Linked DNA regions of Alligator mississippiensis. The protein of the gene in region 1 purifies or fractionates together with the protein of each later gene. This does not show direct contact. Links are inferred from orthologs where the notes say so. Each region holds a gene or a part of one and is shown on either strand. Other genes may lie near its edges.

Region 1 (7,557 bases):
CCTTAATAATGGAGTCTTCCAGGCTATGCTAAGAAGCATCTTGAAAATATAACCGTTCAACTGGTTCGTAAGCTTTTCTTTCCTTCTTCCCTTTCCTTGAGATTCTGCTTTTTTTCTACACAGGGATATTACTGCTGCTACAAAATTAAACTTAAGCCCAGCAGATCGCATACTGGCTGCATATTCCAGCTTGTCCACGCTCCTACCACTGAAATGCCCTCTTTGCAATGTGCTGTAAGATGGAAACCTGTTCCAGCTCCACTTTTCCCATCAGGGGACTGGGTAATAAGCACCCTCATTGAATTGCCTGAACCACGCAAAGGGGATCGCTCCTTTAAAGGTCATTTGAGCTTCATAGCTCAAACGTTGCCCTGAACTCAACTCATGTCCACAAGCAAAAGCCTCGTTCAAGTTTGGCAGAGCCGTTCACTCAAGCAGGTTCACGCAAGAGAGGCAATAAAGCTAAAAGTGAACTTAGTTCAACTTGTCAGCACAATTCTCTCATTTGGACACAGAGCCGCATAACCCAAGTCATCCAGTGCTTTCCCAGCATTCCCCCTGTGCTGGTTGTGGCCTTTTTAACCTTTCTGGAATGCGTGAGCTCCTAAGGTTAGAAACCACTTACCATAATTGCCCATTGTGGCTTTTGGAAGCGTCTCAGAGCACATATCTGACTGAGTGAAATGTGAAGTCCTTGGGGTTTTTTAATATTTTTTTTAAATCCGTCCCTTTTCCAAATAATTGTTTAATCTGTTGCCTCCTGTGGTGTTCCTACTATACAAATGTTAACAACAAATAATAGGAGCCAACTGATGGGCTGTTTTGGGGGTTTTTGTTAATGTCTTATTTTAATTGTAAAAGCCGCCCCCTTCACAAGACTGTCTTTGGCTCTGCATTTGCCCGCCATGCCAAGTGGTACGTATGAAGTCAAATGGAAGCTAGAGGAGACTGAGCAAGTATGTGTCAAGCACCCTCAATTGTCAAAAGGCAAAGATTTTGCACCTTCAAATCAGGAACTGAGCGGATTGGTGTTTTTTGGTCTTGTCTACCCACAGATTTGCACATTACCTCAAATCAAGCCAGGGCAAGTGTGAGTGTGGACACTCAGGAGTGGGTTATTTGGGTTACAGAGTGGGTTGTTTCCTCAACAGTTTTCTCTAAACCAAGTAATCCCAGTTTAAATAGAAAGTTGGCCATGAACACATGGATGGGGGGGTCAAGTCAGAGGCATAATCTTAGACCAAATCATATTGGGGCTTCTCACTGCCAAGCAGGTTGACAAGCAGGTATTTTAAAGCCTGTTTTATCCAGCAGCAAACTTGGCCCTAAGGTGGGAAGTGTTATGTGTGGTTATCAAGGACTGATGGAGATGACCCTTTCCAGCCCTGTATTTCTATATCTGCAGCATTTTTAAATTAGAGCAGCACGATGTACCACTGGTTAACCCATGAATGACTCCAAGTCTTCCACCCAGCCCTTGGACCAGCTGAACAAAATCAGTTTAAAATCGAACGTTCAGTGACGCCACTGCAACTCTGCAAGCCGACAAGCCCTAAGGGCTCCAGACAATCAAAGTTTTACCCTATGGTGCCATATTGATTATGAGTGACATCTGCCTTCAAACTGAATACTGCACTACAGCAAAAAAATCTGCTCAGCCTTAATTGTGGAAAAAATGTATGTGTTTTCATTATCTCTATGGGAAAATAAATAGATCAGACTAGATACATTTATCTGGAGGGGGAATCTATCTAGAGCTATGCAGATAAGGCGACAAATATCCTGAAACTCAAATGATACCAAGATGAACTTCGTTTCCCAGCAAGAAACAATGCTAAATAATAATGCTGATAGATTGTTTTTGACCCTGAAACATTTCTATATTAAAAAAAAAAAAAGATTTTGGCCAGTAATGGAAGGTTTTCAGCTGGGGTTTTGTTTGTTTGGTTTTTGGTGAGTTTGCAATAACAATGAGAAAAGCACAAAAAAAAAAAAAGAAATTTTGGGTTTTCTTTCTTCCCAACTCCACAATTAAAATAGTGGAAGAGGAAAATCTTCAGGTAAAAAAAAAATGAAAACTGACATTTTCTCCACTATCTTTTTCAAGGAAATGGGCAATTTTGTCCAGCTTTGATCTTCAAATGAGTACACACCTCCGCTTGGGCTACAGCTCAAGTCGCCTCCCTGCGCATTTATGTTGCCACTGAATCAGTCATTTTGACTGAAAAGAGAGAGAGAGGGTTGTTAAAATGCAAGATAAACAGACTGAAGGCAAATATTTCCTGTGTGCGCTAAAAACTGGCTTCGGAACAATTCCAGCAGAGCACACAGGTCACTCTCCTGCCATAACGTATGGGGGCTGGAGGGACGGCTCATTAGAAATAAATCAGTGTAAACAGGATCTGCTTTTATCAGTGGGAAAAGAGACCATGTAAACAAGTCACAAACAAGTGCCTATACATTTCCATCACAATCTGTTGTTTCGCAGTCTTGCAGGGAGTTACAATTACAGAGGGTGACTTATTGATTACACAGGATCCCAGCCCAGCCCACACACTCCCTCCTAGCAAGGGCTTTCCTCCTCCCCTGTGCCTCTGGAGTTGGAAGGAGGTCCTCTTTCCCGACAGCTCTTTTGCAGGCTGAGATCGAGCCATGAGCTGGTGTTGCAGCACCTGGGGTGTGCCAGCTGGGAGGGGTGGCATGGGAGAAGGAAGGGTGCCAGTGTGGGGACTGGGAGATACAAGACATCACCATGGGGTACTAGGAAATGATAGGGGCATCTCCATGGGGTACTGGGAAATGGTAAGGCATTTCCATGGGGTACCAGGAGATGGTGGGGCATCTCCACGGGGTATTGGAAAATCGTGGGGCATCTGCATGGGGTGCTGAGAGATGGTGGTGCAACTCCACAGAGTGCCAGGAGGTGGTGGGGCATCTCCATGGGGTACTGGGAAATAGTAAGGCATTTCCATGGGGTACCAGGAGATGGTAGTGCATCTCCATAGAGTGCCAGTAGGTGGTAGGGCATCTCCATGGGGTGCTGAGAGATGGTGGGGCATCTGCATGGAGTGCCAGGAGATGGTAGGGTATCTCCATGGGGTCCTGGGAGGTGATGGGGGCATCTCCACAGAGTACTGGGAAATGGTAAGGCATTTCCATGGGGTACCAGGAGATGGTGGTGCATCTCCATGGGGTACTGGAAAATCGTGCGGCATCTTCATGGGGTGCTAAGAGATGGTGGTGCAACTCCATAGAGTGCCAGGAGGTGGTAGGGCATCTCCATGGGGTACTGGGAAATACTAAGGCACTTCCATGGGGTACCAGGAGATGGTGGTGCATCTCCATAGAGTGCCAGGAGGTGGTAGGGCATCAGCATGGGGTGCTGAGAGATGGTGGGGCATCTGCACAGAGTGCCAGGAGATGGTAGGGTATCTCCATGGGGTCCTGGGAGGTGATGGGGGCATCTCCACAGAGTACTGGGAAATGGTAAGGCATTTCCATGGGGTACCAGGAGATGGTGGTGCATCTCGATGGGGTACTGGAAAATCGTGCGGCATCTTCATGGGGTGCTAAGAGATGGTGGTGCAACTCCATAGAGTGCCAGGAGGTGGTAGGGCATCTCCATGGGGTACTGGGAAATACTAAGGCATTTCCATGGGGTACCAGGAGATGGTGGTGCATCTCCATAGAGTGCCAGGAGGTGGTAGGGCATCAGCATGGGGTGCTGAGAGATGGTGGGGCATCTGCACAGAGTGCCAGGAGATGGTAGGGTATCTCCATGGGGTCCTCGGAGGTGATGGGGGCATCTCCACAGAGTACTGGGAAATGGTAAGGCATTTCCATGGGGTACCAGGAGGTGGTGGGGCATCTCCATGGGGTACTTGGGAATGGTGGGGCATCTCCATGGGGTGCTGTGGAGATGGTGGGGCATTACTAGCAGGGGCTGAGAGCCCTGCGTGCCCTCTTGCTCCTCCTGCATCCTGCCAACAGGGTTGGAGACTGTTTCCAGTGTCGGGCACGCCTGGCACAGCCCTGCGGAGGTCTCGCAGGGTGCGCAGCACATGCTCATAGGTGGGTGCTGGGGGACAGGGGAGGCTGGTGCTGAAGGATGCTGCGGGGCAGGGACCGGGGCTGCCCCCCGCGCAGTGCATCCCTGGGGCAGGAGCATCCCCCATTCAGGGGGCTGAACATGCCTCCCCTTCTCCATGCAAGCAGCCCGCGGGGGCCGCCAAAGCCGGCCTTTTGCTGCCGCCCGGCGGCCGGCGCGGGCATGGCGGGGCGGTGCGCGGGGCCGCCGCTGCATCCCCCCGGCCGGCCGGGCGGGAGGGCGCGGGGCAGGGCAGGGCAGGGCAGGGCAGGGCAGGGCGAGCACCCCGGTGCCTTGCCGGCTCCCCCTCCCCTGCGCTCCCCGCCCGGCCCGCGGCTCGAGGAGGAGTTTGCGGAGCGGCCGCTCCAATCGCGGGCGCGGAGGCTGAGCCAGCTCCTCCCTCGCTCCCTCCCTGCCTCCCCGAGCGGCTCCTGCAAAGTTTGAGCACCTGGGAAGCCGGCGCTGCCCTGCAGCCCCCGGCTCGGGGTCCCCCCTGCTGCCTGCGGGGATGCGGGGGGCAGCAGGAGGGAGGTAGGGGCGGGACGGGGGCTGCGTGTCTCTGCGGCTGCAGCTGGACCCCCGGGGGCAGGTGAGCCGGGCTGGGACCCCCATGCGCGGGGTGGGGGGCTGCAGGCAGGGGGCAGCTGGGGGGAGGATGCCGGGCACTGCCCTCCATGGAGTCCGGTGCCGGCCACGATGACTTTCCCCGCCCCGCTTAATGCCAGCGCGCCCGAGGGCAACCAGACGGCGCCCAGCCCGGGCAACCGCAGCTGGGCGCCGGGGGACGAGGGTGCCGCGGATGGCAATGGCACGTCGCTGAGCCCGGGGCTGGACCTGCAGGCGGTGGGGCTGGGGGTCTTCCTGGCGCTCTTCATCCTCTCGGCCATCGTGGGCAATATCCTGGTCATCCTGTCGGTGGCTTGCAACCGGCACCTGCAGACGGTGACCAACTATTTCATCGTCAACTTGGCCATCGCCGACCTGCTGCTCAGCACCACGGTGCTGCCCTTCTCGGCCACCCTGGAGGTGCTGGGCTTCTGGGTCTTTGGTCGCATCTTCTGCAACATCTGGGCAGCGGTGGACGTGCTGTGCTGCTCGGCCTCCATCATGAGCCTCTGCATCATCTCGGTGGACCGCTATATCGGCGTCAAGTACTCGCTCAAGTACCCGGCCATCATGACCGAGAGGAAAGCGGTGGTCATCCTGGTGGTGGTGTGGCTCTCCTCCATGGTCATCTCCATCGGGCCGCTGCTGGGTTGGAAGGAGCCCCCGCCGCCGGACGAGAGCATCTGTAGCATCACAGAGGAGCCGGGGTATGCCCTCTTCTCCTCTCTCTTCTCCTTCTACCTGCCCCTGGCCGTCATCCTGGTGATGTACTTCAGGATCTACGTGGTGGCCCGGCGGACCACCAAGAGCCTGGAGGCGGGGGTCAAGAAGGAGCGGAGCAAGTCCATGGAGGTGGTGCTGAGGATCCATTGCCGGAGCGTGCTGGAGGATTCCCTCTCCAGCGCCAGGAACAAGGGGCACAACCTCAGGAGCTCGCTCTCCGTGCGCCTGCTCAAGTTCTCCCGCGAGAAGAAGGCGGCCAAGACCCTGGCTATTGTGGTGGGAGTTTTCATCCTCTGCTGGTTCCCTTTCTTTTTCGTCCTGCCCTTCGGTAAGTGAATCCACCCCCCAACCCCCATGGCCCTGTGCCCGCTGTGTCTGATCCCCACCTGAGAGAAGTATCCTCCCCTTCCCACCCTTATTGAGGTCCTCCAGGGGCCAACTTTCCAGGCTCCCAAGGCAAGGTTGGGGGATAGGGCCCTTCTCTAATCTGGAGTTAAAATCAGTCAGCTCCAAACTTTGCAATATGTGGAAACAGCTCTGTCCTCAGAGTTGATGCAGGCTCCTGCCAGCCATTCTGGAGCCTTTCAATTATGCCCACCATGAAGGCACTACTTTCTATCACAAATTGACTTCATGGTGTAGAGAAGGAACACAAAAATGCTGCCCACTTGCTGCTACAGGCTTTCCGAACTGCCCAGAAAGAGCAGGAGGGTTTTGACAGGCACGCTGAAGTTCAGGCACAGGCAGGCACGTGCAGAGAATGAAACCTGATGTTTCATTTGCACCACGAGTGTCGAGGCATTTGTATTAGCTCCCTCTCCACTGTTTCCTTGTTGTGGGTTGTCTGAGTTTCTCATACCCCCGTGACAGGCTCCTGACGGGCAGCCCCTTGCAACCCTCAGGTAAGTTGTCAGAGCTGCCGATGGAAAAAGGGCCTGATCCAAAGCTGATGGAAGTTAATGGAAAGACTCTTGTTGGCTTTGATGGGCTACAGAGCAGGTATCACCTTTGCAAATGGAGAGGCCATCTTTTGAGTATGGCTGTAAAAGTGACAGGAGGATTTTTGGGCTAGCCCCCTGGCCTGGGCAACCCATGTGTTATATCATTATATGGGAAGCCTTGAGCAGGGAAGCCTCTTTCTGCCTTGACTCGTACCAGTGTGTGTGATGCTCCTTAATAAGGGAAATCCCTGTTCTGCCTTCACTCCCTGGAGACCCTGTGAAGCTGCCGGGTTTCAGGTGCTGTTGGCTCAGCCGTCCTCTGCTCAGTGCCTGGGTCCTAACACTCAATCTGCTTGAGGTTTGATCTGATGCATCGGGAGAGTTATTTAACTTCCCTGGGCTTCGGGGTGTCTGTGCGTAAAAGGCATGCAGTCCATGCCCACCTCCCAGAGAGGGGACCGATGCCGGGCATGCTCTGAGATGCTTTACAGGGCAGAGCTGCGTTAGGATAAGTATTGCCCCCTCCCCTTCCCCTTGGCAAATCTTCCCAGGTTTTATTCTGAGTGTTAAAATCTTGCTGCCAGTGTTTCTGTAACGCAGTGGGAGCCGCCTCTGTCCTGCTGGGAACCAGAGCTGCCGGCTCCACACTCAGCTTTTAGCACCTTGCTTAGATGGATTTTCCCCTTGGAGCAGCCCAAGCCGTCTGCAAAGTAAAGGCAGTTTGAGTTCCCCTGGCTGTCTTTCCTGCCTCCCCCCGCAAACAGAAGTACTGTAATAGGCCAGACTCTCAGTGGTTGTAAATCAGCATGGCTCAGCATAGTCCTTATGTGCGCCCCCCTTTTGCGAGCCATCCTTCTCCAACCACAGCCCACGCACACAACTCAGGAAAGGAAACCACTTTAGAGAAATCCTGTAGCCCAGGACATTTCAAAGCCATCTCATGCCCTCTGTTACTGCTGCAGGGATGCCCACAGGGTCAGGCAGTGGCCAAAATGCATCTTTTTGACGCTATCCGTGCTACTTTTTCCCCCCCCTCCATCCTGTTGTCATCTGACCCTACAGGGAGGTGCCAAGGGATCGGAGGCTCTGCCTGTCAGATCTAGGATACAGCATGTTGATTTAGAGTCAGATTTTTTTTTCCAGCAATGTTGTCATTGCCTCTTAGAGGGGCTGAAGCAGCCAGATTCACTCAGTGCGTCA
Region 2 (7,490 bases), on another chromosome or scaffold:
CTTCTTTTTTATGCTGCTTACCCAAAGTCACTCTTTTGAGATGGAGTACCATCTTATATGTGTGTGTATATATGAAACCACTAAATATCTCACAGGATACTGTATCTTCTACATCCCTCTACCCAGTTTCTTGTCTCTTTACCCCAATTGACACTGTCATCTCTTCATGTTGCTCTTCTGTCAATTAAAATCCCAGAACAACAACAGGGTCCATTTAGCACTGACCCTCATGTCTGCACAGTTTCACCCAAAAGTCTTGTGATGAGTAGTGCTTTGCAGGATCAAAACCTCAAGGGTTATTTTTGCATTATCTAACAAATTATACACATTGTCAAGTCACAGTTTTCACATGTAGCCGAAACCAGATGGGAAAATCTGTGAAAGCAGACCAGAAAAAGACAACCACTTTAAAATACTGTGTTTTTTTTAAACAGTGCATGTTATATTTGTAATAAAGATACCACCCTTTCGTTTTCAGGTAGTGTGTGCTGGTTGAAGGCAATATACATTTAAGAAAGTGATGCAGCATAGTGCCACACTCCCTGTTCCTTAGGCATCTTGTGGTATCCGGACAACAGTGAATGCTTCTTGTACAGGTAAGATAAACTGTGTTTGGGGAAAATAAGTGAATTCTAGTACTTGGAAACAAGTGCTTAAAGGTGGCTTCCTAAACCCATCTTTGGCCATCTAAATATCAGGATTTTCAGAAACACTGAAGTAAGTGTGAATTTCTGGGGTTCATCACGTTTCTAAATCAAGCCATCAGACCTCTGAAGGTCCCTTCTAGCCCTACTTCTTGATGATTCTATGGACCTATAGCCTTCCTGAGGCCCCAACCCTACAAACACAAGCATATTTGACCTTGCTTTTGTGAGCAGTCCCATTGACAAACTGTTCATAGGAGTAAAGCTAAGCATGTAAACAACTGTTTGCAAGAATGGGGTCTAAATCCTTCTGGCTGGTAGGTTCTGAAGCCCCAATTAATTAAGCATTACAAGAAGTGTGTGAAAGGGGAGACGTGGGCTCAAATATCTGTTAGCTCTCAGAAAAAGCAGAGGGGCTGCTGTTTCCAGTGGCTTCCATCTCCAAAGGACAATGCTGTTGGGGTAAGGTTGTGACAGCATTAGGGCCTTGTTGCATCTTATGCTGTAAGATGCACAAATGTTGATCAGTGTGAATGCTAGCTTGGAGTTTGGATCAGTCACAAGCTTAGTTTAGAAACCTTGTCTGATTGTCCCCCATCTGTACCACTGTGACTTGCCACTGGCAGCCTGGTGATCAGGGGCAGGACTAGGAGCTGAAGGTATGAGTTGACACTATAGGGCTGGTGAGCCAGAATAGGCTTCTATCATAGAATCATAGAAAATTAGGGTTAGAAGGGACCTCAGGAGGTCATCTAGTCCAACCCCTGCTCAAGGCAGGATCATCCCCAACTAGATCATCCCAGCCAAAGCTTTGTCTAGCCAGGTCTTAACAACCTCCAAGGATGGAGATTGTACCAACTCTCTGGTTAACCTGTTCCAGTGCTTTACTACCCACCTAGTAAAAAATTTCTTCCTACTATCTAGTGTAAACATCCTTTGCTGTGACTTGAGACCATTGCTCCTTGTTCTGTCATCTGCCGTGACTAAGAACAGTTTGGCTCCATCCTCTTTTGAACCTCCCTTCAGGTAATCGAAGACTGCTATTAAATCCCCTCTCAGTCTTCTCTTGTCTAGACTAAATAAGCCCAGTTCCCTCAGTCTTTACTTGTAAGTCATATTCCCCAGGCCCCTCACTATTTTTCTTACCCTCCAATATTTCCACATCCTTTTTGTAGTAGAGAGCCCAATGCTGAACACAATACTCCAGATGTGGCCTCACCAGTGCTGAAAAGAGGGGAATAATCACTTCCCTTGACCTGCTGGCAACACTCCTACCAATGCAGCCCAGTGTGCCATTAGCCTTCTTTGCAACAAGGGCATACTGCTGGCTCATATTCAGCTTATTGTCCACTGTAACCCCCAGATCCTTTTCTGCAGAGCTGCTGCCCAGCCAGTCAGCCCCCAGCCTGTACTGGTGCATGGGATTCTTCAGTGCAAAGTGTAGAACTGTGCACTTGTCCTTGTTGAACCTCATGAGATTTCTTTTGGCCCAGTCCTCCAATTTGTCCCAATTACTCTGAATCTTAGCCCTACCCTCCAGCATATCTACTGCTCCCTCAAGTTTGGTGTCATCTGCAAACTTGCTGAGGGTGCACTCTGTGCCATCTTCCAGGTTGTTGTTGAACATACCGAACAAAACCAGCCCCAGGATTGACCCCTGGGGCACTCTACTTGATAATGGCTGCTAGCTAGACATCGAGCCATTGATTACCACCCTCTGAGCTCAATGCTCCAGCCAGTTTTCTATCCACCTTACAGTCCATTCATCCAGCCCATACTTTCTTAGCTTGCCTGTGAGAATGTTATTCAAGAACCTTGTTAAAATCAAGATATACCACATCCAGTGGTCTTCCTGCATCCACAGAGCCAGTCGTCTCATCGTAGAAGGCAATCAAGTTGGTCAGGCCAGACTTGCCCTTGGTGAATCCATGCTGACTGTTTCTAACCACCGTCTTCTCCTCCAAGTGCTTAGAAATGGATTACATGAGGATCTGTTCCACAATTTTTCCAGTGACTGAGGTGAGGCTGAGTGGTCCATAGTTCCCTGGATCCTCCTTTTCCCCTTTCTTGATGGGCATTATGTTTACCCTTTTCTAATCATCTGGGACTTATTCTGATCACCATGAGTTTTCAAAGATTATGGCCAGTGTCTTTGCAGTCTCATCAGCCAACTCCCTCAGCACCCCCAGGTGCATCCCATCCAGCCCCATGGACTTGTAATTGCCAGCTTTGCTAAATAGTCCCTAACCTGTTCTTTTGCCACTATTGGTTGCTCTCCAGGCAGGGGTGTGAGATCTTGGGATGTTGGAGGACTTCAACTTGGGTGGCACATCTGTGGGGAGTGGCTACACCTTAATGCAGGGACTGGCAATTATTTCAGGCAGGGGGCCGCTTACTGAGTTTTGGCAAGCCATCGAGGGCTGCATGACAGGCAGCCAGGGACAGATAAATAGTATTTTTCTAAATTTTTTAGGGGCCCCCGCGGGCCAGATAAAATGGCCTGGTGGGCCACATCCGGCTTGCGGGTTGCATTTTGCCCGCCCCGCCTTAATGGAACAGGAGGTGGGTAGGGCAGATCAGAGAGAATCCTGTCCTGGAGTAGCATAACTTTGAGCTGCATAATGAGTGCTTAAAACCACTTTAAGAGTGTGTACAGAAGTTGGTTGCCATTTTCTGTAGCCATTTAAAGCACTTTATTTCCGCGACTGAACAGAAGTGCAGGGCCTTATAGCACTTTCAAAATGGGTACAGTGCTTTACATTAACCCTTGTTAAATGAGGTATTTTACAGCACTTTAGCAACCTACAGTGCTTTAAATAAATTATATATGCTGGTCAAATTTCTGAGCAGTGGAGAAGCCCCAGGAGGCTGCAGAGCACTCCCTGACTCCTAGCCCAGAAAGTGCAGGGAGGCTCAGACCTCCCCCGCAAACACTGCACTTCTATCCTGGTGAAGAGCACTGTAACTGTACAGTGCTGTGAAAAATGTTCTGAATTATAGTCCTGTAAAATGTCCATGGAGCACTTCTGTACACACCCTAAGGTGTGGGGACAATCCCGGGGTTAAGATGTTCTAGGAGCAGCCCAAAATTACTGTACGGCAAGCCCTTATTCACGTTTTTGGTCCCCCCAGGGCTTTGGCTGCCACGGCCAGGGGGCCGGGGTGACCTGCCCAGCACCGCCACCCGGCATTTTGCGGGAAGGAATCCGCCAGACGCTTCTGCAGCAGAGGAATCGTCCCCCTTTGTGCTGGGCACGAGGGGATGACAGGAGCCTGAAGTAAGGGAGGAGGCAGAGCAGAGATGCATCTTCATAGCCTGAATGAGGGGGAGAGAGGGAGAGCGGGGGAAGCCCAGCTCCCTCCCTCAGATGCTGGCAAAGGAGGGCACAAAGTGCCAAGTGTGGGGCGCGACTGGCACACCGGGAGGGCGAGGAGGAAGCCAAAAGCCCCCTCTCCATCAGAGAGGAGGGTTTCCTCCGCCCGCAGCAACCTCTGCCAAACAAAACATGACATCATCCTGCACAGGGCTCCTGCAGCCCCCGCCCGGCACCTCCACCCCCAATACGTCACCCCCTCGCGCTGCGCCCCCCGCCCGCCCGGCGCCAAGCTCCGAGGGAGGCGGGGGGAAGAGAACCTCACGGAAGCTCCGGGCAAAGGGCGGAGTAAGGGCAGCGGCTTCATCTGAGCTTCACGTTCCCACTAGGCATGCGCGGAGCCTTCGCACATGCCCGCCAGGGGGTTGGCGCAGGCGCAGAAAAGAGATGAGGACTCGGTGAGGCAGGGCAGTTTCTGCTATGACACCTGCAGCATGTGCCAGGAGCTGCAGCAGCAGCAGCAGCAGCAGCAGGCGCGGTGCATCCTCCTCGCTCCAGTGTGGTAAGCGGTGGCGGCAGCAGCTCCCTCTCTCTGCGTCCCTGCTGCCTTGCACTGTATTTCAGCGGGTGCATGGTGACCTTACAGAGTGTGCATTACCTCACAGGTAAATATCAGCTGATCCGCTGTGACAGCAGGAGCAGGAGCAGGAGCAGGCAGCAGCAGCAACCCACAGAGCCTTTCTGGAGGTAGCAGTTCATTCATTCCTTCACTCATCTTGTCCCTCACCTCTACTTTCTCCCCCACCTCCCTTTATTCACTCCCCCCCCACCGCCCCCATGCAAAAGCCAAAGGGCTGCAGAGGATGCTGAAGCCTCCATTAAGGACTCTTCCCACCACTGCAAAGACTCTGAGGAGTATTTAGTACTGGGGGGGGGGGGGGGGATGAATATTCCTGAGCCAGAGGCGGCTGCTAGTGTTGCAATGCACTGCGGTTTCAGTGGAAATGGCTAAGGGGAAGGATGCGCTGAGGGGCGGGAAGGGAGGGAGCTTCAGCCTGTTGCCTACTTTTAAATCTAGCTAAATAGACACCGGTGCGGCTCCCCTGGGTACGGTGCTTGGTCGCTAGGCATGCGATTTTCCTGGCTGCGAATACCCAAGCTGGTCTTGGTCCTGCTATGGAGATGGAGGGAGAGATGCTGATGCTGGATTCTTTGGGAAAGAGGGAAACAAGGGTCATAACTCAATGCCTGCTGCTGAGTATCCCTGTGGCAAGAGCTCTCTTTCCTACAATGGCTGGTGACTATTGGGCATCAGGTATTTCATTAGGAAATACCACCAAGGTATGCATTCATGTGGAGAAAGGGAGTACACATATGTGTGTGTGTGTGTGTGTGTGTGTGTGTATGTGTATGGTGCGAGGAAGCTTAGGAAAACTGTCATAGGCCTAAGACATAATGTTTTTTGACTTCTGCTGTACTTCAGTTTTTCAGTAGTTGTTGTCTTTTTTTTTCCAGTAGTAAAAGTGCACATTGCCTACCACTGGCCTTTATACCTACTGGCTGTTCTGTTTATGACCCTGGTCATTGTACTGTATTTGTGTATGGGGGCACATACAATGGATTTTAGTGGAGGAATGAAAAGGGAAAAGAATCAAGCTCAGATGCGTAACAATCAAACACTTCAAAGAGCAGGTCCTGATTTCCCTTTCGCCCCTGAATTTAACAGTGTGCAGTCTCTTATTTCTTAACAAATATGTCAGGGAACACTGTTGTAGGTATCCTATGAAATATAGTTGTATAAGCTAATGCTTGATAAATAAATTATTGTAAAATATATGATCATATATAATCCTTGTATGTATAATTATTTACCTACTTGCTAACTTACTAACTTCAGTCATTTACAGTAAACATCCTAGTTACTACAGATTGACTAGTTCCTAACATTGTGGGATATCTTTTATGCCATGGAATAATTATTAAATGCTAAAATTAAATGGTGCTAGAGGTATTGTGGTCAGATGAACCTCATAAATATGCGTTGGGATCCATCTGTCAGCATTTACAATGTTTTCAGTACTGTTTAAAGCCCTAATGTGAATAAATGCCACTTAATAAATCCTGATAAATATCAGTGACCTAAGAGGTCTTCAAATGAGTTTTGTGAAGTAAAAAGTGCTGAAGCAATATTGTAAGCTTGTTATTTCTCATCTTTAAATCCTGTCGCAAGCTTGAAGTTATGTAACTTACTCTTCTTTTTTACCTTTATTTCTCACTTTATTGTTGTCAGTGTGGGAAATGATGTCATCATCATGGGGAAAAAAAGGCAGAGATTTTCACTTTTAATCCTATCTTTGCTGTGGAATCCAACAGCAGTTTCCCAGACTTTCAATTTAATGTCAGGATGTAGCACTTGTATCACCAGCAGTGGTGGGCATATGTACTAGCAGGTTTTTGTCATACTTGGAGCACCCAATACACTATTCATGAAAGAGTGGTATAGAGTGCTGTGTACTTGTACTTACTGTTGCTTTATTGACAGAGAATGTATGAGCGTGTGTTAAAAGCCACCTTCACAACTAGTTTGACTTTTCAGTACCCCTTAAAAGATAACAGCTCCACTGACAGTTCTTGGAGATTGCTCTTACTCCTACTGAAGTCAATGGCTAAATTCCCTGTTTAGGCAATATCAAATACATTGCCTTAAATGTATGAAATACGTTATAAGTGTGTGGGTGTGTGGTTGCCTGAGTATCTACTTTGTTTTTAAAATGTTTGATATATCAAGAGGTAGAATTTAATATTAAACAACTGAAGACCAAACCTAATCCCCTCCACTAAAATATCATGCATAAATTACAAATGTTGTGTCCTGAACACTTAAAGTGTTCACTTACAGTTTTAACCAGTGAACTTATAGTTCACTTATAGTTTTAACCAGAATATGTTGTTATAATTCTGCAATGGCAAGAGTAAATACAAAATTGTCCCCCAACCACAACTGAGCATATAAATAAAAAAATTAATATTGTGTATGTGGCTGCTTAGTTGTGTTCATGTGTAATAATTTCCATGAACAATTTCTGTGCATTATTGTTTGTATAAACCAATGGTAGCCTGCAGAAAACGATGCATCCTCAAACATACTGGCATCTCCTGTTACTTATTACTGTGTCAAGCCCTGATCCTGAATTTAGCTGATGAGTCGCTTACACCCACGTGGACTCCTGTTGATTTTCAAAACCTACAAATTGCTGAAAATTAAGATGGTGTCTGTGAAACTGTTGGGTAGAAATTTATTAAGTTTTAGAAAAGGTCAGAAGTGGAGGTTGGTTGCTTGGTTGGTTTGCTTTTGACAATGAAAGGGTCTGTAAAGCAATTTTTTTCCTCATACCACTTGTATACTAGTGTTATTCTTTTGACTTCAGCTTGTAAAAGGGTCAGCATCATTATCCTAATATATCTGAATTGAAGTCAGTGGAAACAGTTTGGTGTAAAAAGAAGCTCAGTCTTATTTTCTTTGTACAACTGA
Region 3 (7,716 bases), on another chromosome or scaffold:
TAAAAGTATTTTAGTGTGCTATTGTTCCTGCTCTCTACTAATGTAGATGGGGGTAGGTGGGGGGGGAAAGGAGGGGAGGGGCGGTAAACTCATTGTGCCCCCAGGCTGGATCTGTACTGCCAGGCTCCTCACAGGCTGGATCTGGATATGGCAGCATGAATGGTTGCAGAGATTAACACAGCTGTTGCTCATCCCCCCACATTGAAATGCATTGCAAACAGGGCTGTGTGCCTCCTATTTTGGCAGCAGGCTCTGAATTCCTGGCTCCTCTACTAGCCATGTGGGACATAAGTTTGACACCCCTGCAATACATGATTCTTTGTAAATCATACTATTAACATGATTTTTTTTATATGTACTGGAAATTTTACTGATACAGTATTTATGCCACCTTTATTGAAAGATTGGGTTTTTGAAGTAGAACTTGCTCTTGAACACCTGAAAACTCTTTTGAAAGTAGTGCATGTTTTAGTTGGTGGGTAACATCATAGTCAGTCAGGAACATATTGGATGAAGTGTTTCATTTCACTTGCATGTAGTTCATGAATGTTACTGGGCCAGTAGTGTGCACATTAAGTAGGAGACCGTACCGCAATGGTCATTGGATCAGTGGAAAACTGTGGGTCAGGTCCAATGAGAACATAAAGAGGGCTAATATAAGTGTATGTGAAATTTTAATTTAGCATTTATAAATGTTCTCCCATTTACTTTCATCTGATTAGAAGTTTTTTGGGGGAAGGGCTATCTTTCTTCCATACTAATGTAGATCCTACTGTGTAACTGGACTTTCTAGGCATTGCAGTAATATCCATAGATTTAAATATGAAGTCTTGTTTTCTACCTCATGTAATTTTTTCCCCATTAATATACAATCTAATTTACAGTTACTAAGGTACAAATTATGGGTTGCACATGCAAACGTTTGGGGAAGATTGTGTGGGAGTTTAATGAGACTGCTTTCTTGATTTGTGTGCTTGTATTATAGGACCTTCAGTTTTAAATAACTCTTAATAAAACATGTACTGGCATAAGAATCAATTTTTTTTTCTCTCTCTTCTCCCCCCCCCCCCCCCCCCCCCCCCCCCCATGACAAGCTGGTCTGAATCACGGAAAAACTTAATTGGGAAAAGCTAATCAATCTGAAAAATGAATAAGAGGGATTGAGGGAGATGATCCCGATGCGAGAAAAAAGAGGGAAAGGGGCCAGGAGGCTTCCTTGGCTGACCAGAGAAATCCAGGGCAGCCTGTGGACTAAAAGGGGAGCATATAAAAAGTGGAAACGGGGAGAGATTACCAAAGAGGAGTATACCTCCTCTGCTCGCACTTGTAGGGAGGCAGACAGGCCAAAGCTACCATGGAGCTGAGGATGGCATCCCAAGTAAAGGATAACAAAAAATTGTTTTTTAGATATATAGGGAGTAGAAGGAAAGCCCAGGGTGGAATAGGACCCCTACTAAATGGGCAGAAGCAATTGGTGACAGACAGGGGGGACAAGGCTGAACTCCTCAATGAGTTCTTTGCCTCAGTGTTCCTAAGTGAGGGGCAGGACAAGGCCCTCACTGGGATTGTAGAGAGGCAGCAGCAAGGTACCAGACTACCATGCGTAGACCCTGAGATGATGCAGAGTCACTTGGAGGAACTGGATGCGTTTAAGTCGGCAGGCCCGGATGAGCTCCATCCGAGGGTACCGAAGGCACTGGCTGACATCATTGCACAGCCACTGGCGGTAATATTTGAACACTCATGGCGCACGGGCCAGGTGCTGGAGGACTGGAAAAGGGCCAATGTGGTCCCCATTTTCAAGAAGGGGAGGAAGGAGGACCCAGGCAACTACAGGCCAGTCAGTCTCACCTCCATCCTTGGCAAAGTCTTTGAAAAAATTATCAAGGCTCACATTTGCGAGAGCCCGGCAGGGCAAATTATGCTGAGGGGAAACCAGCATGGGTTTGTAGCAGGTAGATCATACCCGAGTAATCTAGTCTCTTTTTATGACGCAGGAGTAGGGGTTGATGTCGTATACTTAGACTTCAGGAAGGCCTTCGATACGGTATCCCACACCATACTGATGAACAAGCTAAGAGGCTGTGACTTGGATGACTACACAGTCTGGTGGGTGGTGAATTGGCTAGAGGGTCGCACCCAGAGAGTCGTAGTGGATGGGTCGGTATTGACCTGGAAGGGTGTGGGCAGTGGGGTCCCGCGGGGCTTGGTCCTTGGACCGATACTCTTCAATGTCTTCATCAGCGACTTGGACGAGGGAGTGAAGTGTACTCTGTCCAAGTTTGCGGATGACACAAAACTGTGGGGAGAAGTGGACACGCCGGAGGGCAGGGAACAACTATAAGCAGATCTGGACAGGTTGGACATGTGGGCGGAAAACAACAGAATGCAATTCAACAAGGAGAAATGCAAAGTGCTGCACCTAGGGAGGAAAAATGTCCAGCACACCTACAGCCTAGGGAATGACCTGCTTGGTGGCACGGAAGCGGAAAGGGATCTTGGAGTCCTAGTGGACTCCAAGATGATCATGAGTCGGCAGTGTGACGAAGCCATCAGAAAAGCTAATGGCACTTTATCGTGCATCAGCAGATGCATGATGAACAGATCCAATGAGGTGATAATTCTCCTCTATCGGGCGCTGGTCAGACCGCAGTTGGAGTACTGCGTGCAGGTTTGGGTGCCACACTTCAAGAGGGATGTGAATAACCTGGAGAGGGTCTAGAGAAGGGCCACTCATATGGTTAAGGGCTTGCAGGCCAAGCCCTATGAGGAGAGACTGGGGCACGTGGACCTCTTCAGCCTCCACAAGAGAAGGTTGAGAGGCGACCTTGTGGCTGCCTATAAGTTCATCACGGGGGCACAGAAGGGAATTGGTGAGGTTTTATTCACCAAGGCGCCCCCGGGGGTTACAAGAAATAATGGCCACAAGCTAGCAGAGAGCAGATTTAGATTGGACATTAGGAAGAACTTCTTCACAGTTCGAGTGGCCAAGGTCTGGAACGGGCTCCCAAGGGAGGTGGTGCACTTCCCTACCCTGGGGGTCTTCAAGAGGAGGTTAGATAAGCATCTAGCTGGGGTCATCTGAACCCAGCACTCTTTCCTGCCTATGCAGGGGGTCAGACTCGATGATTTATTGAGGTCCCTTCTGACCCCAGCATCTATGAATAAAGAAATAAAACAGGTAGAAATATGCCACCATTCCTAAAATATACTTTAATGCCAATATCTGTGGTAAATTGGGTAGTATCCTTTCTACATGGACTTTTCCTTCTACCTTTTTCCTCTCTAATAAACTCTTCTTTAATCTTTTTAATCCCAGTTACCTCAGTTACCTGTTGTTACTTACCATTTACCATCAGAAATATACAAAATATAGCTTGTGTTAAAGCACGTGTAACCATGACTTTCATAAGCATGTTTCAGAATTAAATTGAAGCACTTTTAATCTGCCATTTCTGAGATTCAGCATGCTCTTCTGTTGACCATTTGAAGGGTGGGAGCGGAGTTGCATGTTTTCTGTGTGTATGCGCTAAATGTAATTTTTAACTTATCGTTAATTTCAGGTATGTACAGTTGTTCCAAACCAGGGTCAGATAAGGAAATGGACCAGGGTTAGGCTGATCTAAATGCCCAATCATTCAAGTGCTCAGAGGTCTTAAATTGGGCAAAAAAGGCATGCCTGATTTAAATGTTGTTCACCTAAGTAGGTGTACAAGCATATATTGATATTCTGCTAACCTGATTTAGGAAACCTGAGCTTGTGAACATCTGCATGTGTTTATGGTGCAGCCCCAGGGCTGGGGAAGCCCCAGCCACTTTCCCCAGCCTGGGGCCATGCTAGTCCCCCTGCCCCACTAGCTGCCTATACCTAGATTGGGTGTGGTGACCTTAAGATTGCTTGGAGTTGATACTCTGGCATTTGTCTTGGTGTGTCTACTTCATGATGATCTTATCTTTGTAGCTTACATGAAAACAAACGTTGGGATTTTCATATCAGCAGTGGGGTTTCACCAGCGATCTGCTAAAATGAAAGGAAGATGTAGTGCTTAAATTCCTTGTACGTCTTTGAAATACCCAAACTAAAATATGTAACTGGTACCTGCCTTCAGAACAGTTTATTACAGATAGCTTTTCATAGAAAAAAAAAAATCAGAGAAGCAAAGTGCTTTATCAATGGTCATTGTTGTTTGTAGCTAACAGGAGTATGTATACAGCTTTTAAAGGACGTTGCTTGAAACTTCAGCAGGCTATTTGTTTAGAACAGCAGAGGGCAATCGCCACAGGTTCTTTCCTACCTTCAGCCCTGTAGAGTTTTTAACTTGCTATAGTTTTGAAAACAGGAAGGAAAAGAATTAACTTTTTGTTAAGAACACCCAGCAGTATATTGGTACCTTTATAAATAGGGACCTCTCTCTAATCATTTGAGCCCACATTGTTTGCATATATTCTTTAATACTGAAAAGTTTACTTGTTTCCTGAGTGGCTCACACTGTTGCAGTTTGTCAAGTTCTCCTCTTAAAAAAAACAAATTCTCCCCTCCCACCCTCCCTTTCAAATCCCAGCATGCAGTTCTCATGAGTGTACTTGCAGGCACTTCCTTTCCATCCTCATTTTCCTGTTTTTAAACATAAAGCTTGAACATGAGCATCCAGACATGTAAAAAACTTCAGTGGAAAAAGCATATGTTTTCTATGCCTGGGGATATTGACATCCAGGCTTGCTCTCTTCTACCAGGTGAGTAAGTATTTAAGACATAAGTGTATTTTCAAGACCAGAGGACAAAAAAAAGTAAATGAATGTTATTTCTGTCTACCTTTATCTGATGTAAGTTTTCTAAGTCTAATAGCAACATGTCATTGAAGACAGGCAGGAAACAGTCCAAGGAAAAGACGGTTTACAATCTGCTGTTTGTGGCACAACTCCGTTTTAAGTACTGTGTGAATTGTGGCTGGCTAAACACTCTCAGATCCGTTCACCTTCAGCTGTTTTTTAATCTAAATATTTCTTCTCAGCATACATTTGGTGAAAGTTCTCCTATTCTTTCACTGGTTGGCTTCCTTTGAAACCATGTAAAAATTAAACATGAGAGGAAGCTGGACAGTTTTGCTAATGTTTCTTTTTATCAGAAAGGAAACTACATCATTTTCAGTTGATGATCTTGTTGACTGCACTTTTATAGTGTTCTGCTCATTGTGATTGCTGAGCATATTGAATTAACATACATCCTTAACTTCACCACCATTTACATTCCAGTAAAGATGAATGAAATCTGATGTAATGAAAAATAAAGTAGGTGGACTTTTGGTAGAGAAGAAACTGGGACCACTCTTTCTTTTTTTGTTGAGACTTTTTAGGGATTGCTAGTTCCAGTGGTATGGGGCCAAAGCCAAAAAAAACGTGACTAGCAGAGCAGTGTCAGTGTGAAGACATCCACATAGGTGAATCTCAGTGTTCTAGATGACATTATGCCTCTGACAGGGCATGGTATTTCAGACCTTAAGGGCCTCATGCCAGTCAGCTTGGAGACTGATTATTTGATAATATAAAGTGACTCCATTGACTCCAAACTAGCTAAGCAACAGAGAGTTTAGCCCATCTGTTTTATTTCATTTCAGTTTTGACCTGAATTTTGGATACTAGAACAAGAGAGGAATTTCAGATTTTAAGTGAAGTGATATAATATGATCTATTTACAGTCTCATAAATATGTACATAGATCTGGAGCAATGGAGCTGATCTGGTGTTTAAGCAGAATAAATGAGATCTGCATCTAGCCCTTATTCTTTTAAGGGCCTAATCCAGCCTAAACTTCCATTTTAGCTGATGTAAATTTCTGGGCATGCTCAGTGGATTTAGTTATAACTTTACAAGTGCCTTGAGATCCTTTTGAGGGTGCCATAAATTGCCACAGAATGTTAGCACTGTTAAGTTTACAAACATGATTCACAAAAACCCAGAGATTTCCTATATAAATCCATAGTCGTGGTCTTTCTGAGTTTTTTACAGAGAAAAAAAGCTCTGTTTTTTTTCTGTAGTTAAAAATGAGTGAAAACTAGTTGGCATTTTCTGAAGGGTGCCTCAAATATGTCCAGGGATGCCTCCGGTCTCAGAAGATTGAGAACTGCTGCACTAGGGAGCTGTGTGTTCACCCTGGCTGAGAATCATTGCTCTAGTTATACACGGATGAGTTTCTAAGCGTGCTCAGTCCAAACTGTGAATAGGGATGGAGTACAAATGTAAACCCTCCTAGTTAAATTTTTGCTAATTGCTTCTCTAAGTGCTAGATGTGTGTTAATATGCAGAATTTTGTGTTGGTTTAAAAGCTTCTCGTAGAGAGAATTAGCTTTCTTCCCATAAGGTTAAAGTTCATTACTGCGCTGTCAAATTCATTACTGCATTGTCCAAAATATCTGTAATGCTCATTTGGAGTGTGTGAAGGACATATACATTGACTGGGAACATCTATGTGTGCATTAATGCACTTTTCCTAATATGCATTAAATTTAGTGCCTCCAATAAGAGGTACTAAATAAATGCGCATTTAGGTTGCACTAATGTGCAGTAGTGTAAGCACATGCTTTTTAGGTGATGCTTAATGTGCAATAGCTTATTCTATTGCTCATTAGCATATTAGCACTTTTTTTATGCACCACTTTAATGCACAGTAGAATAGGCTGCTGCACGTTAAGGCACACACAGACATGCCACAGATACTTTAAAATGACCCCAGGGAAAGGAATTAAAATTGATAGAGAAAGATTAGGATAGATTGGATTTGGGAATGGGGAAGGGGGAGGAAGAGAACACTGGAAACTAAATAGAAAAGCTAAATGCAAATAGTTTCTCAAACTCCATTTCGTTCAGTTTTGAAGAGAACAAGCAAGCTGAAATATTGTAAGGATGAAAAAAAGAGAAGTCAATATGAGGGTAAAATACCCTTCTGAGTATAGGTGGAAAACAAAAGAATAAAATAAAATAAAATATTTTATTTTGTTCTTTTATTCTTTTGGGGAATAAAATACAGAAGGTGGGAAAGCGTAGATGTAAAGTTTTAAACAAGCTTAGAAAGCATGTTGTATGCAGTATTTGGTTATATGGTTTACTTGTGGCTAGCTGTTTCTAGAAAATGCACAAATTTGTAAATGTTCTAGGCTTAGGCAGGGCAGAGGAGTGACTCGGTTCCTTTTTGGAAGCTGTAGTTAATCCTGAATTTCTTCTTAGAAGTCTAATATTTGACAGATTTGAGTTAGGGACTCTCAAGAGCTAGCCAACGCCCTGTATCCATACCTTGAATTAAACACAACTCCTGTCTCTCTCTCATCTCTCTCTTAACACCCAGAGCAAAATAATCTTGGTTAAGAAAAAATTAATTTCTGAGTGCCTTGTGCCTTTAAAAACCCCATAGCTAACTGTCTGCAGTCTCTTAACAGACATTCTCTTATGATTTAGCTATCTATTCTCTCCCCGCTTGTTCTGAATTCTGTCTCAGCACGTTTACAGGAACTGCGTAGTGCCTGCCTGCGTCCTAAGGTCTACTGTCCTTATGCCTTCATACTTGGTGAGCTCACTGCCTTCCAAAGGGGATGAAAATTCAGAACAGTTTTGTTTATGACCTTTTGGATAGTTACGGGATAATTTCTGTAACTGTTGCTTCTACTTATGGTTGACTGGACATATGAGGGTTTATTACTATACTAGATTATAGTTTATCTGATT
Region 4 (8,027 bases), on another chromosome or scaffold:
ACTCCCATTGACAGGGACAGAAGCAGGAACAGCTCAGTCAGATCTGATGCAAAACACACTTGTTCTCCTTTCAAAACAAGAGAAAAACGTTTATTCTGCCTTTCTTCAGGTCAGAAACAGCCTGCTTGAAGCTGCCTTGCTGAAGAAGGAGCTTCAAAGTGGGAAACTGGATCTCACTAAGTTATTTTACACTGCTTACACAAGCCATTCATAGAGCAAGCTTCCTTACTGAAGTGAACAGCGTGTCCTAAGGGGACACTGTGGGCAATTCTTATTTCAGTTCCTGCCACAGACGCAAGTACACTCTGGTCCAAGGCAAGCCTTTCAGTGACAGAGCTGTGCATAGTAGTATGTTAAATATCCATAGGGTTGACTATTCAAATATGCCTTTGCACATGAACCCGTACTGCTATCCTGGCACAGAAGTAAGAGCCAAAAGACACCAGCATTCATTTCACTGGATCAAAGAACATAAGGCAGCAGCTGCAATCACTTTAAGAGAAGCGGGGGCAGAGGGGACAGCAGCAGACAGAGTCCATGGTCAAACGGCCTGATCTTTGCTCCCACAAGGAACAAAACTGACTCTTTTACAAGTGCTGCACAGCTGCAGCATGTCTAGACTAGCTTCTCGTGTGTTACACAGAAGAAAAATGCCTAAGAAAGTAGTAGTGTTTGCTTATGTCAATCATTAGACAACACCAAAGGTCAAATGCTGTCCATATTAGTACCCACAGAGCCCCTGGGCTTCATGGGTGTAACCAATGACACAATTTGGCCACAGCAGCCTCTCCCTTTTTCTCTCCCTCTCTGACACAGAAGATGCCTTCATAAGCTGTGAAGCTAGATGAAGGGGACGGTTAGATCCTCTGGACTTAGTGCTGGCTAATTCCTCCTGATCCACAGGATGTACAGTTACTTTCCACTGCAGAAGATGCAGAGCAGATCAATGGGTTGCTCATTTTTTACTGCCAAAGACCCCGCTAGAGTTTACTTTTCCTCCCCAACTCCCCAGAGAAGCTTTTACGGCATTTCCTTTTCATACCCCACATTCAGTAATTTGCATGCGACCTCAAATGCACCCCTGAGGCTGCGGTCCAATTCCCCATGGCTCCGCAAGAGGGTCCCAAAGTTCCTTAGTAATTCAAAAGCGGCACATCAGAAGCTGCTGTGGTTTAGAAATATCAGAAGGACCACTTGAAAAATGACTGAGCAAATCTATTTCAAAGCAAAACAGGAGATAAAGAAAAAAAAAATCCAGAAGCAGGCGTGTCACACCGCTCCACAAATGCCAATGACCCTTCGATAAATGAACTTACGTGCAAACAAGCAGGTACTTTAATCAAACATGGGCACCAAGGGCATTTTCTCTCTAATGTACACCGAGTTTTTTTCCCCTTCTTTTCAGCTGTTCCTTCTCTCAAATCTAGTAAATACATTAACCCTCCAGCAAAAAGGGGGGGGGGGGGTTAAACTCTTCTTTTTCTAAGCCTGAAGATTTTTGTTTCTGATCCTGAGCTCATTGTCCCCTGTTTCGTACCCTTGGAGCGCTTGCTTTCAGCTGGGTGTCCTCGGAGGTGTGTGCCAAAGCTTTAGAGCACTGTGCATGTTGGACTCCGTCTCGAGGGCGGTTTCTAAAAGGCTGTCTCGCGCTTGGGAAAGGAAAGTCTCTGCTTTGCGTGTTTTGAAATGAATGTTTCAGGGAGACCCTGGCCAGGTCCCCTCAAGTTTATTCTCTCCCTTTGCATAAACTGGGGCATTGTGCGCGTGGGGGGCACATTTCAGTCGTTCCAGGCCAGGCGGGTTGGCACAGCCCTGCACGACCTGATCTGCTCGTTTCTCTCTCCTGGCTGAGTGAAAGTGGCCGGGCTGTCAGCCTCCGAGATCCCAGGTGCTGTTAACTCCTCCCTGCCCAGTCAAACCTAGCGCTTGCCTGGATGAAAAGGCGCTGGTGCCGCTTTCAATCCACACGTGGGTCACTGCAGAGACATGGCACAAGGCTCAGCGGGCTGGGGTGGCACCTACACTTCTGGTGGCCCCGGACGAACTTTTAGTATTGCCCCCCTTTGCCAGAGAGAATGATAATCATAATTAAAAAATACCATTTTCAGGCCCCCTTTCTGTCCAGACCCCGAGCGGGTGCCTGCGTCCGGCCCTGGCCGAGGGGGCAGAGCTCAGAGACCCTCAGCCCCCACCCCACTTGCCCCTGGCACCTCCAGGGCACAGGCAGCAGAGACCAGCCAGCCTCAAACCGGAGTCACTCCATTTAAGCCCTTCCGTGCCGCACACAGCACTCATGCATCCTGGGGCTAGGGGGGGACCCCCAAGCACATTAACCCTTTACCTTCCAGCAGGGACCAGCCAGCCCCAAACCGGAGTCACTCCACTTAACCCAACACACGTGCACCAGGGCTGGGGGGGGTGGGGGGGAACCCTCCTCGGCGCATTAACCCTTTACCTTCCAGCAGCACCTCCTTGCCCGCCCGCTTGAGCGCCTGCACCGCCTCGTCGTGCGTGGCGTCCCGCAGGTCCGTGCCATTGACAGCCAGGATGGCATCGCCCACGTACAGCGCCTGGGTCTGGTCGGCCGCCAGCCCCTTGAAGATCTTGCTGATGAGGATGGGCATCTTGTTCTCCTTGCCGCCCTTGATGCTGATGCCCAGCCCGCCCAGCTCCTGCTTCAGCACCTTCACCCGCCGCTTCTGGTTGGACAGGCTCTCGGGCACCTGCTCGGGCGGGTCGGTGAAGGCGGTGCGCACCCCCGCCGCCGTGGGGCTGCCGCCCGGGGACGCCCCGTTGCCGCCCAGGCCGTTGTGGGCCGCGCCGTCGGGGCGCTCGTCGCAGCTGAGCACCAGCGCATCCTCGCCCAGGTGCACCAGCACCCGGTGCCAGCGCTCCCGCACCAAAACTTCCAGCCAGCCGCTGCGCTGCGCCCGGCCGCCGCCCGCGCCCGCGCCCGCGCCCGCGCCCGCCGCTACCGCCATCTTTGGAGCATTCTTAAAATACCATGTGATTGCACACACCGGCACCCGGCACGGCTCGGCGCGGCGCGGCTCGGCACTGCACGGCGCGGCGCGGCGCAGCGCGGGACTTCGCTCCGCGGACGGGGCGGGGCGGGGCGGGGCGCGGCGGCCCCTCCTCCTCCTCCTCTTCCCGCCCTCCCCCCAGGGGCTCCGGTGCCGAAGTTGCAAACAGGGTGGCAGGGCTCCTCGTCCTCGGCCCGGTCCCACAGGTGGGAAGGGCGCCCTCGCCGGAGCGACTCGCGACCCGGTGTGAACGGCAGCTAGAAAGAGGCGCTGCGGCGCGGGGCAGCTCCGGGGGACGCGGCCGTCCGCGCTGTGAGGGGCCGCGCGGGTCGCCGGCACCGGGGCCAGAAGGGGAGGCTTGGTTTTATGACGACAGGACTAATGACACGGTGTCTTGGGGTGATTCTTGGTCGAGTTGGGACTTCTAGGTAATAGAGGACATCGCAAGTTTTCATGGGCACTCCAATAAAGTGTTTGGGTTTTTTTTCCTTCCATTTTAAATTGAGTAACTATAGCTCCAGGCCCCTAGCTGATTAGTGAAGCTTCTCATTTCTTTTTCACTGGAGAAACGTGTACGACACCATCTGCACCCTTTTTCTCAAAATCCTGGATCCACCCGTCATTACGGTGCTATTTGGAAGAGTGAAGTTGAAAGCAGTTACAGCGACTGGGATGCTGTCTTTCTGGGACAGAGTGACTGAGTTTAAAACACGCACACATACACACAGACGTACACGCTCTCACACATTTTCTCCTGGGGAAATTTGCTGGGGATATTACTGTGATACAACCTGCTAGGAAAAACAGCCAAAACAAATCCGGTTCAACGCCCCCCACCAAAGCGTGATCCCACAAGCTGCTCCATGTGCACACAGCTGTGCTCCCAGCATGGGCAGCTCTGTGCACAGCTGCTTGCAAGACCCGAGCAAGAATCACAATGTCTGTCATCCTGGTACAAACCATCGGAAAAAAAAACAGAGAAAAGACGAACTTAGAGAATAGAAGATTGTTAAAGTCAGGCTCTTACCAGAAAGCAAAACAGGGTTAATTCCTTCACTGAAAATACCCACTATCCCACCTGGTATGATGAACCAGAGAACTGCTGGCTCCTTTAGCTGAATCTCAATTGAAGCAGCTTCACTGGGAGAAAGAAACAACCCGTGGATCACGCATGACCTAAGTTGTTAAGTGCTTTATAATGTCACCCTCCATTGCCTACTTGCTGGATTTTTCAACAAACATCTTTATGCTTCATCCAAGTGCTTCTCATGTGGTAAGTATCCACAAAGCCACCTCATTACCACCCCCCTTCAGATTCTTCTTGCGACTCTCCTTTGCTGCGATGCCTACAGAAAACTCAAACAGGCAAGCTGGTGATGTACTATATTGCCTAGCGTGCTGATCAATACTCATCCTTTACATGTGCTCACCTGTTATATGTGATCTCTTGTGTTACAGTTGGTTTACATGATGAACTCTCCTGAACAAATTCTGTATTTGTATGTTGTCTAACAACATGGGATTCTGGTACGTGGCTAGTACTCCTAAAGACCGTGGTAATAAAATAAATAAAAACAACATCTTCAAATGCACCTTGAATCTATATGAAACCCAGAGCAGATTGTCATGCATAGGTGTGGAGTATTATTAAGCAATTGGACATCTGTGCTCTGCTTTGCTTTCTGGGTGGTCTTGAGATGTAGGCTTGTGTAGACAGCATTGCAGTAATTAAATCAGGAGATAACAAAAGCATTAATTGCAATAGTGAATTCAATATCTGAGAAGGCTGTGCAACTTCCTGGCCAGGCAGAAGGAAAAAAAAATCCAGAAATGGTTGAGAATTCAATAAGTATCTTAAATTGTTAACCAGGGTAGCAACGAACATATAACATCCTGTTATTACTTATTTGTATTACAGTAGTACCTAGTGGTTCAGCCACGTTCTGGAATCCATTGTGCTGACTGCTGCATGTATTATATGGGACAGCCTTAGCTCCAAAGAGCTTGTAATCTCACTTATCAACGGTGGGTGAAACAAATAAATGGAAGGGATGTGGGTGGCTTAACTTCCCTGGTGGGTGGTGAAGGTATAGCTGAAATACACATTTTTTCTCAACACTGTATGAGCCTGTTTCACAGACTAACTGCATAGAGGCAGTTGGTCAACAAATAGAAATGACTTTTGAAAGAAGTAGATTTAAATAAGTATAATTATACAAATGAAGAAGGAGATTTCATGTACAGTAAAAACTAAAGAGAAAGTTCCAAGTTGTTTCAGTGTCCAGATAGACAATTATTTATTTTAGGGAATAAGCACAGTTCAGTTTCTTTTGTTTGCCTTTTGGCTCTTGTATTACATTTACAAGTTTACTTTAAAATTCTGAGGGCTAAAAGAATAATTATTAGTGACCAACAAGATTCTCAGGCAGTCTCAGAAATATGAGCAGAAAAGCTCCAAAAATTAAGAGAGCTAACAGCATGGAATATATTGGGTCACCAAGCAGTGAGCTGAGGCCACTTGGTCATTATGCTCAGGCCAAAGAAAGAACTATGGTGATTATTTTCAGCCATTACCACATCAGTAATTAAGATGTATTAAGGACTGGTTATAAAAATAACCAGTTCATGAACCATCACTTGGTTAGACCTCTTACCCAGTGTTGGTTTTACAGTAGTGTAATGATTCAGGATCTGTCTCTTTTGATTATGCATGTAATGGACAAAAGGGGCTGTAACATCAATAAACAGTTTGGAAAATCTAGGTTACCTTGGTTGGGAAAGGTGAATAGTATTTGTCCTTTTCTAATGCCTTTCTTCTAAGGCCAGGTACAGACATTACACTTTTACTGGTATAAGTGATTGAAAACTGGTCTATACCTGTAACAGAACAGAAGTTTGGCACGTAAAACCAGTTTATGCCCATAACAGAACAGAAGTTCAGCACGCACAGACTAGTTTAAAAATGGTCAAAGCCAGTCTAAACCCAGTCAAAGCCAGTCTAAAAATGGTCAAAGCCAGTCCCCCCTCCCCAACCAAAGGGACTATATGTGTTTTGTTTGCTATCTATCTAAACAGCGCCACTTAGAGAAAACCGTGTAACGTTGATTCAGCCTCAGGCTTTTTGAAGCCTAAGTGTCTCTCACTCCTTCACAAGTATTAGCTAATTTTCCTAATACCCTTATGAGGTGGATTGTGGGGTAACCCTTCCATACTTCAATTTTCCCATCCACAAAATGGCTAAGGCCCAGATTCACAAATCTTAGGCACCTTGGTCCAAAATATAGATCCTCAAAATCCATGTTCATCTATCATCTAGGCCTGGATGTAACTCTGGTTTTCATATTAAAATTCTGTTCTGAACGTGGCATTATACAAGAAAAGGTCACTAGAAGAGAGCTCAGGAAGTTTCTAGTTCAGCCCCTTGCACAAGGCAGGATCATCCCTATATAAGCCATCCTCGACCTAACCTGCACGTCAAACCTGACCTTAAAACAGAAGCCACAGCCCCTGTTCTGCCTTGGTCGTAACAGGATTGAGCAGCTTGGCTTCCATCTCACGCCTCAGCCTCAATGGGTTCTCTGTAAAAGGCGCTCTTCCCCGTCTCGCTGTGATCCAGTAGGTGCTCTCAGAGCAGGCCTATTCCCTCAGGCCCTGAAAAACATGCAGAGCCCTTTTCCTTCATAACACGGCTGGAAGAGGAGCTGCCTCCCCTCCTTTCATCCAATAATCTGCTAGAGTGCTCACTCAGGATATGAGTTATTTCCTTCTCTTCCTGAGGGGATTCAAGCCAACATATACCATGTCCTGGAAGTGTCCTCCTGTTGATGGGTTATTTTAGAAGGATGGAGAGAACAGAAAGCTCTCCTTATTTCTCTTTCATGTTAAAGCTGCTTCATTTTGCATAAAGAAAAATAAAGATTCATTGAGAAAAAAGAGAGCATGAGCCACATGACTCACTAGCCTTGTGGGAAGAGGAGAATACTGGGTTTCGTTCCTGCCTCCTTGCTTATGCATTTTATATTGACATCGTTCTTGGAGCAGGGACTGGAGCCGATCTCTGCTCCCACCCCTGCATATTGAGATTAGTTGTGTTGCCTTTCTCTGATTCAATGAATCTTGAAGCTGTATACTTAAGGGAGTAGAGAGCCCATAATCTGCAGGTTAGGACTCTCTGGTGGGAGAAATCAGTATAAGTTCCTTGGCGCAGAAGGAGAAATTGAATCCAGGTGTCTCTCATCCTGGGTAACTATTCTAGTCACTACTCTGTTGGATCAAATGGGTTAACTTTACCCCCTTTAACCATGGTTTAGAAAAAGAGTGACCCCTGTTCACATTTGGAAATAAAGAGCATGTATTGCTTATTCTCTAACATTAATCCAGCATGGAGGTAAACGCTTCCTGGTACTGCTGTGTAAGGGGTAGTACTAAGCCCCTCAAAAGGAGCAGGCTTTAAAACACTCTTCTTCCTTCAGTGTTTACTGTTGGCTACCTGAGGCAAGTCCCTACTGAGCATACTGGCTGTTGCACATCCCTTTTTAAGGCACCTAAGTCTGTCCTTGTATTGAATACGAGCCTAGGGGGAAGGGGTATGGATTCTGTTATGGCAGCCAGGAATTGTGACCCTGAGCACTGCAGCATCTAATCTCTTTATGGACTGGCCTATGCCACTTCTACAAGCTTCAAAACCAAGCTTGTCTAGGAGGATGCCTACACTGTGATATTCTGCAGCAAACCCTGCCTACCTTGTTCCACTTGCACACTCCACACCTAGGTAGGAATATGGTGGTTAGGCTGCTCCATATATTTCTTTGTATCTGTTCTCAAGAGTTGGGTCCCCAGTAGGCTTCTGGGCAGCTAACTCATCCTCTTTTGGGCCTCATCCATGAATTTCTGGATTTGGAGTGTGCAAGACGAATGAGGTGGAAGGGGCTACCATGGAGTATACATACCCTAGCTCACCAAGGAAACAGTTTTAACCATTAGATACTACATTACCCACCCCCC

What was found.
Region 2: the proteins of ADRA1D (region 1) and DTNA purify together in Homo sapiens (tandem affinity purification; 4 studies listed by BioGRID and IntAct, with this or other methods). This does not show direct contact. The link is inferred for Alligator mississippiensis from reciprocal best matches to the Homo sapiens genes ADRA1D and DTNA.
Region 3: the proteins of ADRA1D (region 1) and UTRN purify together in Homo sapiens (tandem affinity purification; 4 studies listed by BioGRID and IntAct, with this or other methods). This does not show direct contact. The link is inferred for Alligator mississippiensis from reciprocal best matches to the Homo sapiens genes ADRA1D and UTRN.
Region 4: the proteins of ADRA1D (region 1) and SNTB1 purify together in Homo sapiens (tandem affinity purification; 4 studies listed by BioGRID and IntAct, with this or other methods). This does not show direct contact. The link is inferred for Alligator mississippiensis from reciprocal best matches to the Homo sapiens genes ADRA1D and SNTB1.

The regions. Positions count from the first base shown.
Region 1 is NC_081825.1:8,460,948-8,468,504, reverse strand, and holds the start of ADRA1D (alpha-1D adrenergic receptor), read left to right. Parts: upstream 1-4,407; 5' UTR 4,408-4,783; coding exon 4,784-5,744; intron 5,745-7,557. UniProt on the Homo sapiens protein: This alpha-adrenergic receptor mediates its effect through the influx of extracellular calcium.
Region 2 is NC_081826.1:79,295,369-79,302,858, reverse strand, and holds the start of DTNA (dystrobrevin alpha), read left to right. Parts: upstream 1-4,431; 5' UTR 4,432-4,438; coding exon 4,439-4,520; intron 4,521-4,619; exon of another isoform or gene 4,620-4,623; coding exon 4,624-4,705; intron 4,706-7,490. UniProt on the Homo sapiens protein: May be involved in the formation and stability of synapses as well as being involved in the clustering of nicotinic acetylcholine receptors.
Region 3 is NC_081824.1:124,454,584-124,462,299, forward strand, and holds the start of UTRN (utrophin), read left to right. Parts: upstream 1-4,625; 5' UTR 4,626-4,640; coding exon 4,641-4,734; intron 4,735-7,716.
Region 4 is NC_081826.1:22,274,477-22,282,503, reverse strand, and holds the start of SNTB1 (beta-1-syntrophin), read right to left. Parts: upstream 3,063-8,027; 5' UTR 2,982-3,062; coding exon 2,456-2,981; intron 1-2,455. UniProt on the Homo sapiens protein: Adapter protein that binds to and probably organizes the subcellular localization of a variety of membrane proteins. May link various receptors to the actin cytoskeleton and the dystrophin glycoprotein complex.